Neodiprion lecontei: one gene and its partner. The protein of the gene in region 2 interacts with the protein of the main gene of each other region in a pairwise test. Links are inferred from orthologs where the notes say so. Each region holds a gene or a part of one and is shown on either strand. Other genes may lie near its edges.

What was found.
Region 1: the proteins of vam6/Vps39-like protein (region 2) and proteasome subunit beta type-5 interact in a two-hybrid assay, tested with the Caenorhabditis elegans proteins (2 studies listed by BioGRID). The link is inferred for Neodiprion lecontei from reciprocal best matches to the Caenorhabditis elegans genes vps-39 and pbs-5.

The regions. Positions count from the first base shown.
Region 1 is NC_060262.1:42,577,839-42,582,816, reverse strand, and holds proteasome subunit beta type-5, read right to left. Parts: upstream 2,964-4,978; 5' UTR 2,905-2,963; coding exon 2,761-2,904; intron 2,480-2,760; coding exon 2,329-2,479; intron 2,072-2,328; coding exon 1,859-2,071; intron 1,234-1,858; coding exon 1,000-1,233; intron 933-999; exon of another isoform or gene 876-932; coding exon 766-875; 3' UTR 672-765; downstream 1-671. UniProt on the Caenorhabditis elegans protein: Component of the 20S core proteasome complex involved in the proteolytic degradation of most intracellular proteins. This complex plays numerous essential roles within the cell by associating with different regulatory particles.
Region 2 is NC_060265.1:27,124,421-27,131,343, reverse strand, and holds vam6/Vps39-like protein, read left to right. Parts: upstream 1-2,131; 5' UTR 2,132-2,327; coding exon 2,328-2,397; intron 2,398-2,515; coding exon 2,516-2,689; intron 2,690-2,769; coding exon 2,770-3,022; intron 3,023-3,117; coding exon 3,118-3,350; intron 3,351-3,437; coding exon 3,438-3,682; intron 3,683-3,764; coding exon 3,765-4,208; intron 4,209-4,293; coding exon 4,294-4,611; intron 4,612-4,729; coding exon 4,730-5,156; intron 5,157-5,217; coding exon 5,218-5,328; intron 5,329-5,429; coding exon 5,430-5,754; intron 5,755-5,959; coding exon 5,960-6,023; 3' UTR 6,024-6,354; downstream 6,355-6,923. Other genes in the region: H/ACA ribonucleoprotein complex non-core subunit NAF1, read right to left, coding at 15-141, 252-1,096; N-alpha-acetyltransferase 38, NatC auxiliary subunit, read left to right, coding at 1,426-1,491, 1,667-1,909. UniProt on the Caenorhabditis elegans protein: Plays a role in vesicle-mediated protein trafficking to lysosomal compartments including the endocytic membrane transport and autophagic pathways.

The DNA of each region.
Region 1 (4,978 bases), on a different chromosome or scaffold from region 2:
AGTGGACCCGAACGACCGCACGAGAGACGCGAAAGCGACTCTTGGCTAGACGGCGAAAAAGCTATGGAGATACATATTTCTGGAAAAAGCGCTGTTAGACGATCTCTGTTCTTATGCAAAGTCGCGTATTCGATGGAAAAGGACGAGTCGTGATCGGCCGGACGCAAGGGCACTCACAATATCAACGCGATTCGCGGTACTATGTGCGAATCAGCCAATCTGCGTGTTTTCATTTTTTTTTTTTTTCAGTGGAAAGAAAGACGAGTAAATTTTTTTTTTCCAAACTTAACAGTCAACACAGCAATAACACAGATACATTGTATCGTGTCGACAATATGTTAAATTTATAATCACATGTACTTTGACTGTTGTTGATCAATCAAATTGCGATAACGACTCAACTAATCTATTTCGTTTGTCCGTATCATTTGTTCATGAAATATGCACTTTGATTATCGGAATGAGGAGTACTGCAATATGAATCACAGTGCAAGCATAACATAAATGTTCATACAGCGTCATTCATTTGTTGCCGAACGAGAAAGCGACTCTCGTAGCTGTTTTATCAGCGACTCTCTCTGATCGGGGTCTCACGTTCAGCAACAAATCAATGAACCTGTATATTTACAATGGAATATACTTTATGTTAGAGATCTGAGATATAGGTATAATTTATGCAATACGAAAAAACTTTTAATTAATTACAAAATGACGATTGTTTGCAATACAATATATTCTTGAGGATACACTTGAATGAAAATTTTATTACTGTCGTACATTTCTCAGCTTCTCTTTGTCTTCCTGATACTTGTAATGAAGATCCTTGCAGTCCTCGTCGGAAATGTGAACCCATCCAGTAGATTTCATGTGATAAACTGAAATTAACATATATTTACAATCGATTGATAAATAAAATCATGGTTAATCCAAAAGTTGTATTGTAATTATTATCGGAATTCACAACAAATTGGGGAATTCGATTACAACTGCCACTCTTACCTCGTATTATACCCCCAGAGTACGCATCCCTGTGAGTGGCATGGTAAATGGACCTTCTCCCTAATTCATAGGCTTCTTCATCTGTCAAGTCCCAGTGGTAACCGGAATCCAAAACGCCAAAGGCGTATACAGAGCCAGAACCAACACTAAACACTTGACCGGCTGTTCGAGTTCCTTCTGAATCAACATAGTATAAGCCAGGCCCTCTTTTATCCCAGCCGGCGATCATCATTCCTGTTAGTGACAATAATATTGGCAATTTTATTAATAAAAACTTATTTTCTCTATCATAACACACTAGAACCTCGCTTAGCTGATTTTCGATTAACCGAGATTCCGATTATCTGAGACACCCATTTCACCCCAGCACACCACATTAACCGAGGTGTATCCTCGGATAATACGAAGAACCTCGGATGAAACGGAATAATGTCGTGTGCCTATGTATGAAATAATCATGCATCGCTCTGTTTTGAATATGCTGTAACATGGCATTTCTTGAGCTGGTCGGGTAATCGTCCGGGATCCCGATCCAGTCCAAGCCGTGAGACATTTATTTGGGACCCGTTGGAAATGCCCGTCACAATACATAAACTTAAAAACATAAAAGTTTGTTGCAATTTTATGCATTCCGAATTATAAATTCGACAGTTACTTTTCTGGATTCAAGCAGAGGGAATATAACGATGGCTTGAATTGTGAATGTTTTTCGTATTATCCGAGATTGAAATTACATTATTTATATTCGAATTGTACATTGTGCAATGTTCTAACTAATTCAAGTACCTAAATCTCATCTTAAACTATGATGTCCGTAGGACAATTCATCTTCATGAATTCATGAACCAACGCAACATACCCATAGAAAGGCCCATTCCTTTATAATTGTAAACCATGTTGGACATCAGTTTGCTTGCAGCAGCAACAGAGATTCGTTCTCTGTTTCTAAGCTCATACATCCGGCATTGCTTTGCCAAGACACGATCCCAGTAGACGCAGTCAGCAGCACCACCAGCTAGTGTTCCCAAAAGATAGTCATTGATCTCAACGATCTTCTTCATGCTCTGAGACCCTGCAATGAATATAAAATGATTGAAATTTCCTCCTGTGCTGTAATAAGGATGTCAAGGTATAAAATTACTTCAATTTAGGATCGCAATGACAAAATGGTGTATCGTCATAGTCTTTATTATCTCGTACTCATGCGCTAGTGGTTGCGCCCCTTATTTAAGTTTACATCAGAATGTAATTGTCCAATTCATAAAAATGTTGTTTGAGTATCTGGTACAAGACGTGGCTACAAAATAAAATTACGGCTGCTGAACTTACCAATAAATTGGCCACCAGTAGCACGCGAATCCACAGCAAGAACGACGCCACCTTTGTAACGAAATCCAAGGGTCGTTGTGCCATGATCGAAATTTATTTTCAATTTTCTTCCATTTTCATCGGTCGAGAATCGAGACAAATTTTCAGCCGGCTATTGGGTGATTAGTTTAATGTTTAAATGGGTTAAATAGAGGTTAGGGTTAGCCAATCATCGATGGATGGTACGAATTATGTGCCGAATAAGTAGTTATGAAGTGTGTAAGTTTTGGGAATTAAAGGAACGCAACAGCAGATGTCACAAATTTTTGGCAGCTCAATATGCTGTACTCAGTATTTGGAACTGAACAGCCGATTCATGAACAGGGTAACGGTGATGATGATGCAGTTTACAAGGAACTGTCAAACTCGACAAATATTAAAGATAATACGTACGTTTGCGAACGGAGGCATAGCCAAATTCAAGTTGTTGCTGAAATTCTTGCTGTAGGCTTCAATTTCCCCTTGAAAATTGTCATTATTTCTGGGTAAATTGAAATCCAAGTAAGAATTTACTCCGCAAACTTCAGCGAGCGCCATGTCTGATACTGTAACAATCACGAACTACTTTGTCAACTCTGCGAAGAACCACGAGTTGCCACCACTTGCCACCACAGACGCCACAGAGCTCTACAGAGCTCTAGTGCTCTCACTATGCCGCGTCATTGAGTAACAATCATTGTATAACTGCTATATCGTGCAATTTTTCGTGCCAGTTCGGTTGGTAAGGTAGGCAAAATGCTCATCCGTAATTGTAGCAATTTGGCAGTGTTTGATGGTAAGTGATCACGTCAATAGGTTCAGTCGGTCACGTTTGGGTATTTTATTCTTGTTTGAATACGATTATTCAATGCCTGCACTTTTCGACTCGTCTTGTGCGATTTCAATGTGAAATCCAGTTGGTATAGCAAAATGCAGCAACTTCTCAACGATCCTTCAGCTTCCCTTACCCAAAAACAAACCCAAAAACAAACCTAAGTTTCAGCCTAATGTATGTTAGGTATGTAACTTGGTGAGCCAGATTTTCACGGACAGCAAAATGCTGCTGCAGTATTTTGCTGCCGTGAAATGCCAAGAAAATAGGTAATTCGCAACCACTGCGCGCCAGGTAGCGCTAGAGTCCGTTTTGCAGGGACTCTTAGTAGCGCTTCTCTAATTTATTGTCATTCCTTTTGGTGGATAGCTCTGCACCAAAATACCACGGCAGCATTTCTAGTCCAGGCTTTGATTCTTATTCAATTTCAAAGAGATTGCAAAAAGTTACATGGAAATCCATGCAGCATCCGCGTAGTCTGAGGTGAATATCTAGCGCGCCTCGACTATTTGCCGCCCGTGAAAATTCAGCCTGAGTGGCGCCTTCAAGTTGAAGAGTCTGGGGGTGCAACAGTTTTCTGTAATTCTCTACCAGCGCCATGAGGTTTGAAAGAAATTTCCGAAAATCTTTGCAACTTTATCGAGCTGTTTAAAAGTTTAAATGTATACTTTAGGGAGATGAATGCAAAGGGCGAATATAGGGCACATGACCCGATAGTAATCGCTATTGAAGTAGGGAATCGCACAGTGTGTATATTATATGACACAGAATATCGCTTTTATTTTGACGTTAACAACCAGAGTTTGTTACAGACTTCTTTTATACGTATTCTATGCATAGTGTGTATAGACTTCAATTAAGAAATTATTTTGATTGTCAATTGTAGATATGCAGGTGCTGTTCAATATAAGATGATATACCTATACATTATTGTATGAGATTCTAAATAATTCTGTAACCGCCGTATTGAAGGATTGAGGAAAGTTTGATCGAACGACAGATGTGTGAATTTTCTGAATTAGGTGTAATATACAGTGTTACATCGCAGTCAATATTTATCCCTGTATAATGGATGTGAGACGTCTCATAATCAGATGGTGCCGAATTACAATCAGTCGACTCACAATCAGAACCACATCAGTTAGGTACATTTTTGAACATAGAACTCTAAAATACGCATGCTTGACAGGTAGTACGCAAGATTTTGAACGGAATATTGTTGGAATGTAAATTGAGATTGGAATTTTTATAATAACATACATGCATCTTGAAGGAAATCACCTTATTATATATAAAAAAAACCTCACATTGTCTGCCCAGAAAACTTTCTACGATTATGGCTTAATTAAGAATCTCGGGAAACCTGAAGTTTCAATTGCGAATGTTCAATAGTTTACGTATATACATGTAGGTGTAATATGATATATATATATATATATATATATATCAATTATATCATATTATATATATATATATATCAATTTCTTGTAGTGGGTACTCAACTTAATTAACAATAAGAGACCCGTCGCACTTTTTACCTCAGTTTGGGAGAAAATTTGTGCTTACAACAATTACCATGCTTGCAGGTGTAGTAAATAAGTAAAACTTGTAACGCGTGTATAAAAATAGATTAAACTTTTAGCGTAATAGATGTGATGAATGACGTTGGATACTTGATATAATGTAAATTTACTAGAGGCGAGATCATTACACGCGCAGTGTAATATAGATGGGCATCTGGATAACCATATTATCCTGCATTACACATTTAATATCGAACTGTATTATTTGAGGGAGAGG
Region 2 (6,923 bases):
ATAGAAATATTTACCTCGCCTAGGTGGTCACATGATTCTTCAGGTACTGTAATTTTCAATTCTTCGATTGGCGGTAGACCCTCAAACTCACTTTTAATATTTTTGATTTTTGGTAAATCAATTTTACTGACCCGTATAGGGCTGCAATGTAACAATCATACGTCACAAACAAAATCTTGTCCACACAAACTGCAGTATTCATCAACAAGCAATTTTTCACATCAGGTAAGGAATATTTAGCAATGTCTTACCTGTCTGATTCGCTATCAATATCACTATCGGTTTCTGTGGTATAATTGCTACCACTGGAATTTATACTACTAGATCCACTTTCAGAGTCATCATCTATAGACTCCATTCGATACTGTGTGTTATTTTGTCTCACATTGCCACGGTCATCAACAATGGTAATTACTTCGCATGGTGATGATGGTCTTTTTTCATTTTCATCCGAATCAGAACTTGCATATTCTGCCGCTAAATACGATAAGGAATTTACTACGTTTATTACCTCTACTTTGGAGATACCATCCCTTGAGTTTGAAGCTGCCTGAGCTTTTATTAAATCCATCGAAGCTGCGTTCTCAACGCTTTTGTCTTTTTGCATCAACTCATTTTGATCACTATTTTTGATCTCAATAGGCCTGTCATTCTGTGCGTCTTGAGCAACCAGTTGACCAGGCAATGTGATCAAATTTGCTGTCCGAGTTGCGTGTCTTTCTTGTATTTCTGGAGTATCAAGTCCATTTCCAACAACTTTCAAGGATTCGACATCATCTATGCTAATAGGTACATTAATCTGACCTTCCTCAGTGGTCACATTGGCCTCGACAGAATCATTTACTGATTTCATATACGAGCTGTCAATCTCCATTAGATCATGCTTCGAACTTGTTTCTGACGTATGTTGAAGCAACTTTATCGAGTCCGTAATTTCATCTTTCTCTGTGACATCTTTGATGTTAGAATATACAATTTTTACATCATCTACAGTGTCTCTTACATTCTCTTCACCGATATCCACCCTGCTTGATTTTGAGGTTAGAAGAATATCTTCGCGCTGATTCTCAGGGTCCCTTACGCCCTCGGAAGACATGGTATTATGATTTATTGGTAATTTACTTTGGTGTAGACAGTATTTTTACATGCGAAATGAACAATAGTTAATGATGTACATACCGCGGAAAGTTTAAAAAATACCATGCGCCATAGCTCCGCCGTCTCAGCTACTTTCCGCTCCCTCTAGCTCGGTATTATCTAACTTCCACCGAGTTTCTTCAACACTTTGATAGATGTCAGGAACGGTTTTATTTTGTCAACGATTTTGTTGTTGCTGGTTTTACTTGTGGAAAATTGCGCAAGCAAACTGATTGTAATTGTATAATACGTTTAGATTTTCACCTATCCTAATAAATCAACAAGAATATGAAAGACACGGTGCACAGCATGTCGACAACTCCAAATACTGAGGCTGTTCACGGTAACGGAGAGGTAATTGGATCGTGACAATTAGCGAATGTGACGGTTATGATAATTTAGAAAATTTTTGTCTAAAAATGTGGTATTATTTATTTCAATTAAAAATGACTACCTTTAGCTAATACAATCCATAACTGAACAAACACATGAGGTATAATTGATTTGTTTTAATTCATGTTTTTTTCAGGCCTTGCCAGTGGAGGAATCACCAGCCAAACTAAAATTGAGAGGATGGCTGAATCGTCACCTTAAAATCAAAATGACCGATGGCCGAGTTTTGACGGGGGCTTTTTTATGTACAGATCGTGATGCCAATGTTATTTTAGGCTCGTGTTCGGAATTCTTGTCAGAAGAACACACCGAAGCTAGAGCCCTGGGGCTTGTTATGGTGCCAGGTCGACACATTGTAACAATTCACTTAGACGCATAATTAATAATAAGTATAAGAATAAACTATTCTACGTCTGTACATTGACCAGTCAATACATTTTAGTAACATATTATCTTACGATTCTCTCACAAATATCAACATCCAGCACAACTGAAGTAACCTGTAAAGGTCATTGTTGTCTACAAAGTTATTATAATCGGCACAGCCCTCGGCTCAAACAAAATGATGGTTTTTGGATTGATATTCTTTAAAAGTAACATCGTCAGTCAGTGGAGACACCATTTTTGAATACCTAACCAGCTGACGTCAACGTTTAATGTAAACAAGTGCTGCGTGGCACGGTAACTGACAGAAGCAGAACCCCAAACGTCGTCGTGGAGTGAAATGTCAGTGTAAGATTCCACGGTGTTAAAATACCGTGAAGATCCAAACATCTTTGTGCAAACGGAGTGTTAAGATGCACGACGCCTACGAAGCTTCACCTCTCTTGAAATTGACAGTTCAGATCGAATCAATTACTGCTTACGGTAATGAGCGCCAAACATAACCTCAATCGTTCTACACCTTAACTGAAATAACTGTGCAGTATTCTAAATTATATATAAAACGCAACTTTGAATTATCAGTGAAACTTTTTACTTACAGATGATAACTTACTCATCGGCACTAGACAGGGACATTTGTTAATGTACAGTGTTCCTCCAAAGTCAAACGACAAACAAGAATTACAATTGCTTCGATACGGTAAAAACTTTAGCAAAAAACCTATTTTGCAGATCGAAGTTGTACCAGAGTACAACTTGTTGATACTTTTGACCGGTGAGTCGAATAAGAAAATAAAAATTTGAATTTTCAATTGCCAATAAGGCGATAACAATGTCCGAAAATCAATGTTTTAGACAACATCATTTGCGTACATGACTTAAATTCTGCAACAATCCCTCAAATATGTCAGTTGCAAAAAACGAAAGGTGCGACGCTCTTCGTGTTGGATGTACAACGTACTCAGAGTTTGACAGGTGAAAAAGATACAATTGTTCGCTTGTGTGTTGCTGTGAAGCGAAAATTACAATTGTACGAGTGGAAGGTGGATCAATTTATAGACTTTGGAGAAGAATTAACTGTTCCTGATGTGCCTCGAGTCTTGTCGTGGTACGAAACAAGTTATTAGATTGTAAAAGAAAAAGGTTGAGCAGCAATTGGTTGCATATCTTATTTAAATTTGCTCGGAACATTTTACGCTGTAGGTGCGGAGAAACTGTGGTTTTGGGATTCCGTGGATTATCTTATATACTTTTGGATCTAGATGGTACAAGTAAGGAATTATTTCCAAGTGGAAAGTCTCCTGAACCAGGGATAACAAAACTGTCAGACACGTCTTTTGCTTTAGGAAAAGATTCACAGTCAATTCTTATGAACACAAAAGGAGAATTGGTCCAACACAACTCTGTCAAATGGCCAGATTCGCCTAGTGCTACAGGTATCAATAATCAGTAAAACAGTGTTTCTTAAATACAATTCAATTCGAGATATTAAAAAATATATTGCGAGAATATTTATTTTCTAGCATGGGATGATCCATTTCTCATGGGTATAATTAACGATACTTTGGAAGTTTATACCTTGGAAGGTTGTTTACACATTCAAACGATACCAGAACTTAACAAAGCTAGATTATTGTGCAGGTGTAGAAAGGGCCTTGTTTATGTAGCATCAGTTAGCCAAGTTTGGTGTATAAATGCCGTGGAGGTGACGCATCAGATTCGAACACTTCTTGAACAGAATCAGTTTCAGCTGGCTTTAAAATTAACTGTGAGCATATCATTTATTATTGAAGAATTCATAAAATAATTGTTTAAACAACCAATGATCATGGTAAATTATCTGTTTCTAGCATTTGTCTGACATAACAGAAGAAGAAAAAGCAAAAAAAACGTGGAAAATACAAACGTTATACGCCCACTATCTTTTTGCTAATAAAAAATTTGCCGAGTCTATGGAGCAGTTTTTCAAATCAGGTACTGATCCGTACGAAGTAATCAGACTTTTCCCTGATCTGGTTTCCCAGCCAACCAATGCCAATGAAACTAGCGAACATGTTACAACTGTGCCAATATTGCAAGACCGTGATTTGGAACAAGGCTTGCTTGCCTTGATTAAGTTCTTGACAGAAGTGAGACATAAATTAATGGGTGATACGCAAGCAAAAGATAAAGAAAATGAGAAAAATAGTGAGAAAGATACAATGAAAGGAGAGAAAACCAAGAATATAACAGCTGTGGCTACAGAGCAGCTTTTAAAAATAATCGATACAACATTACTCAAATGTTACTTACAGGTAAATCTCAATTTTGTATTACTTAATATTTTGGCTATTCAGAATAAAATGCAGTCTTCAATCTTACAATAAATTACATTTACAGACAAATGATGCCTTGGTAGCGCCACTGTTGCGTTTAAACCATTGCCATTTAGCAGAATCGGAGAAGACTTTATTGAAATATCAGAAATACCCAGAATTAATTATATTATATCAAACAAAAGGTCAGCACAAGAAGGCTTTAGAGTTGCTTGAGAAACAATCCAACGAAAGTGATTCGAGTCTAAGAGGTACCGAGAGAACAATTCAATACTTACAGCACCTAGGTAAGGACCATATGGATTTGATTTTGAAGTTTTCTGGATGGGTTTTGGAACAGGACCCAGAACAGGGCCTCAGAATATTTATGGAAGATGTGCAGGTAATAATAATTAGTAGCATACCCACATTTTTCATCTTTCTTATATTCTGTGAATGGAATACTCTGTGGAAGCTCCCTGCCGTTATTTTACTAACTTGTACATATTTAATGCCGACAGGAAGTTGAACATTTGCCACGTCCCAAAGTATTGGATTATCTTTTACGTTGTCACAAAGACTTGGTGATAACGTACTTGGAGCATGTGGTTCATTTTTGGATGGATAACAATCCTCTATTTCACAACGTCCTGGTACACCAATATAAAGAGAAGTGTTTAGCAGGCTTGAACCCAAATGCTTCGCCGGCTGAAAAGCAAAATGTTCAGCACCTTCGACAGAAACTACAACAATTCTTAGAGAAGTCAACTCATTACACGCCAGAAACGGTCCTAGTTCATTTACCATTTAATTGCCTATTCGAAGAACGTGCGATTATTTTAGGACGATTGGGTCGTCACGAGCAGGCCATCTCCATCTATGTAAACTTATTAAATGACGTCCCCAAGGCGATTCAATTCTGCAGTAATGTATATGCAAAATTCGAAGGTTGGTATCATCTAAATGAATAATAAAAATATTCATTCTACATGATGAATATGTATTGAAGGTCAGAAAAATTCAGAAAAGGGGAAAAATCAAGATGGGGCCGACGAAGTCTATGTTACTTTGATCAAGCAACTTTTGAAGCCGGACAACGAAGGTGTCTTGGTAGCTACTGGTAAATCTCTATCATTTTCAAGATTCGCATTGTGTTACAGAAATATTTTTTGAAGTTGCGCTTTTAAGTGTACCTGTTGGTAAACTTATTTTATACTGTAGGGTGCACTCCAGAGAACCGAAGGACAGCTCAACCTGACTTGGAAACAGCTTTGGAATTGCTTGAGGAACATGCTGCAAAAATCGAACCCTTGAAAGCCTTGGAGGTTTTGCCTGACAATGTACCAATAGGTCGGATAAGACATTTCCTCGAGGCTAGCTTGCAGAATAATCTAAATGAACGACGAAGGACCCAAATTCTGAAAGGCTTGCTTTATGCTGAACACCTCCAGGTACAGGAGCAAAGAATGCATTACGAGTCCCAGAGCGTTCTCTTAACGGAGTTCAATATTTGTCCGGTATGCAAAAAACGTTTTGGAAATCAAAGGTAAATCATTTCAAAAATCTCTATTCGTTAACCGAACCATAACTGTGATTATAGCTGAATGATCCTTGCATATTGTCATTAAACTTAATAAAAACATTGATTGGTTGGTATACGCTCCAAGGACCATACAAATTACAAATTTTGAAACAGTGTTACTCAGTTTTTTCTAAACTAATTACAATTATGTTTTTCTTTTTGTTCACAGTGCATTTGCAAGATATGCCAATGGTGATATTGTTCACTATTCATGTCAAGAGAAAAAGGCGTAACGTATGTGAAAAGAATATGTATATAATTTTACATTATCGAAATCGAACATTTATAAATACTACTATACTATGATCCCCAAGTAAACGTGCAAAGGTATTGAAGTCAAAGAATCTATTATTGCATATATTACCTATGAATTTATTTTATGTGTTTCAACGTAAACGCATATGCTCGGCTGGTAAATCTTGGACTGTTGAACCTACTATACTTATATAACAGCTGCCAGGCCTGTATCTGTATAATCTTAAGGTGCAAATGCACCGAACGAATCAGTAGCTATGTATATGATCAGTAAATTAAATATCTGCCAACAGTTTGGTCAAAAAATAATTTCTTTCAGCCAAGTCACTCTCATTCCTAGTGTAAGATAACACAAAATTATGGATAAAATATATAACGATACTACATCTGCTAAGATTGATCGAACGCGTTCAAAGCCGAAAGATCGTGCCCGGGATACAACGATTCTTCTGTGCCGAGATTATCGCCCAATAATAACGTATTAAGTATCGAATAAATATAAAATACAGCAAATAATAAGGATCATTGAAGGATGGGGCGTGCCCATCGGCAAAATGTGTAAACGGGGCCGATGATGTCATACTCTTAGTGTATTCATACGCCCAATGTCACTATAGTCCGTGAGTCTATAGTTTACATGCGTGATCCCTGAAATTGACTAAAAACGCATGAAATCGGAGTCTGCAATTCACTTTTCGGATGAATTATCGTTCGGGATACACCGTCGTCTTTTACGGCGGCCAAATATTTCGCCGTGAACGTGATTCTCGGCGTCGCGACGCGCGAGTAGGCGGGACTAGTTCTTCTCCGCGAGGTCTGGACGCCGTGTTGCATTGCACAGTTGGTTGCGCGCCGGTCGTGTGAGTGAGGAGACGTAC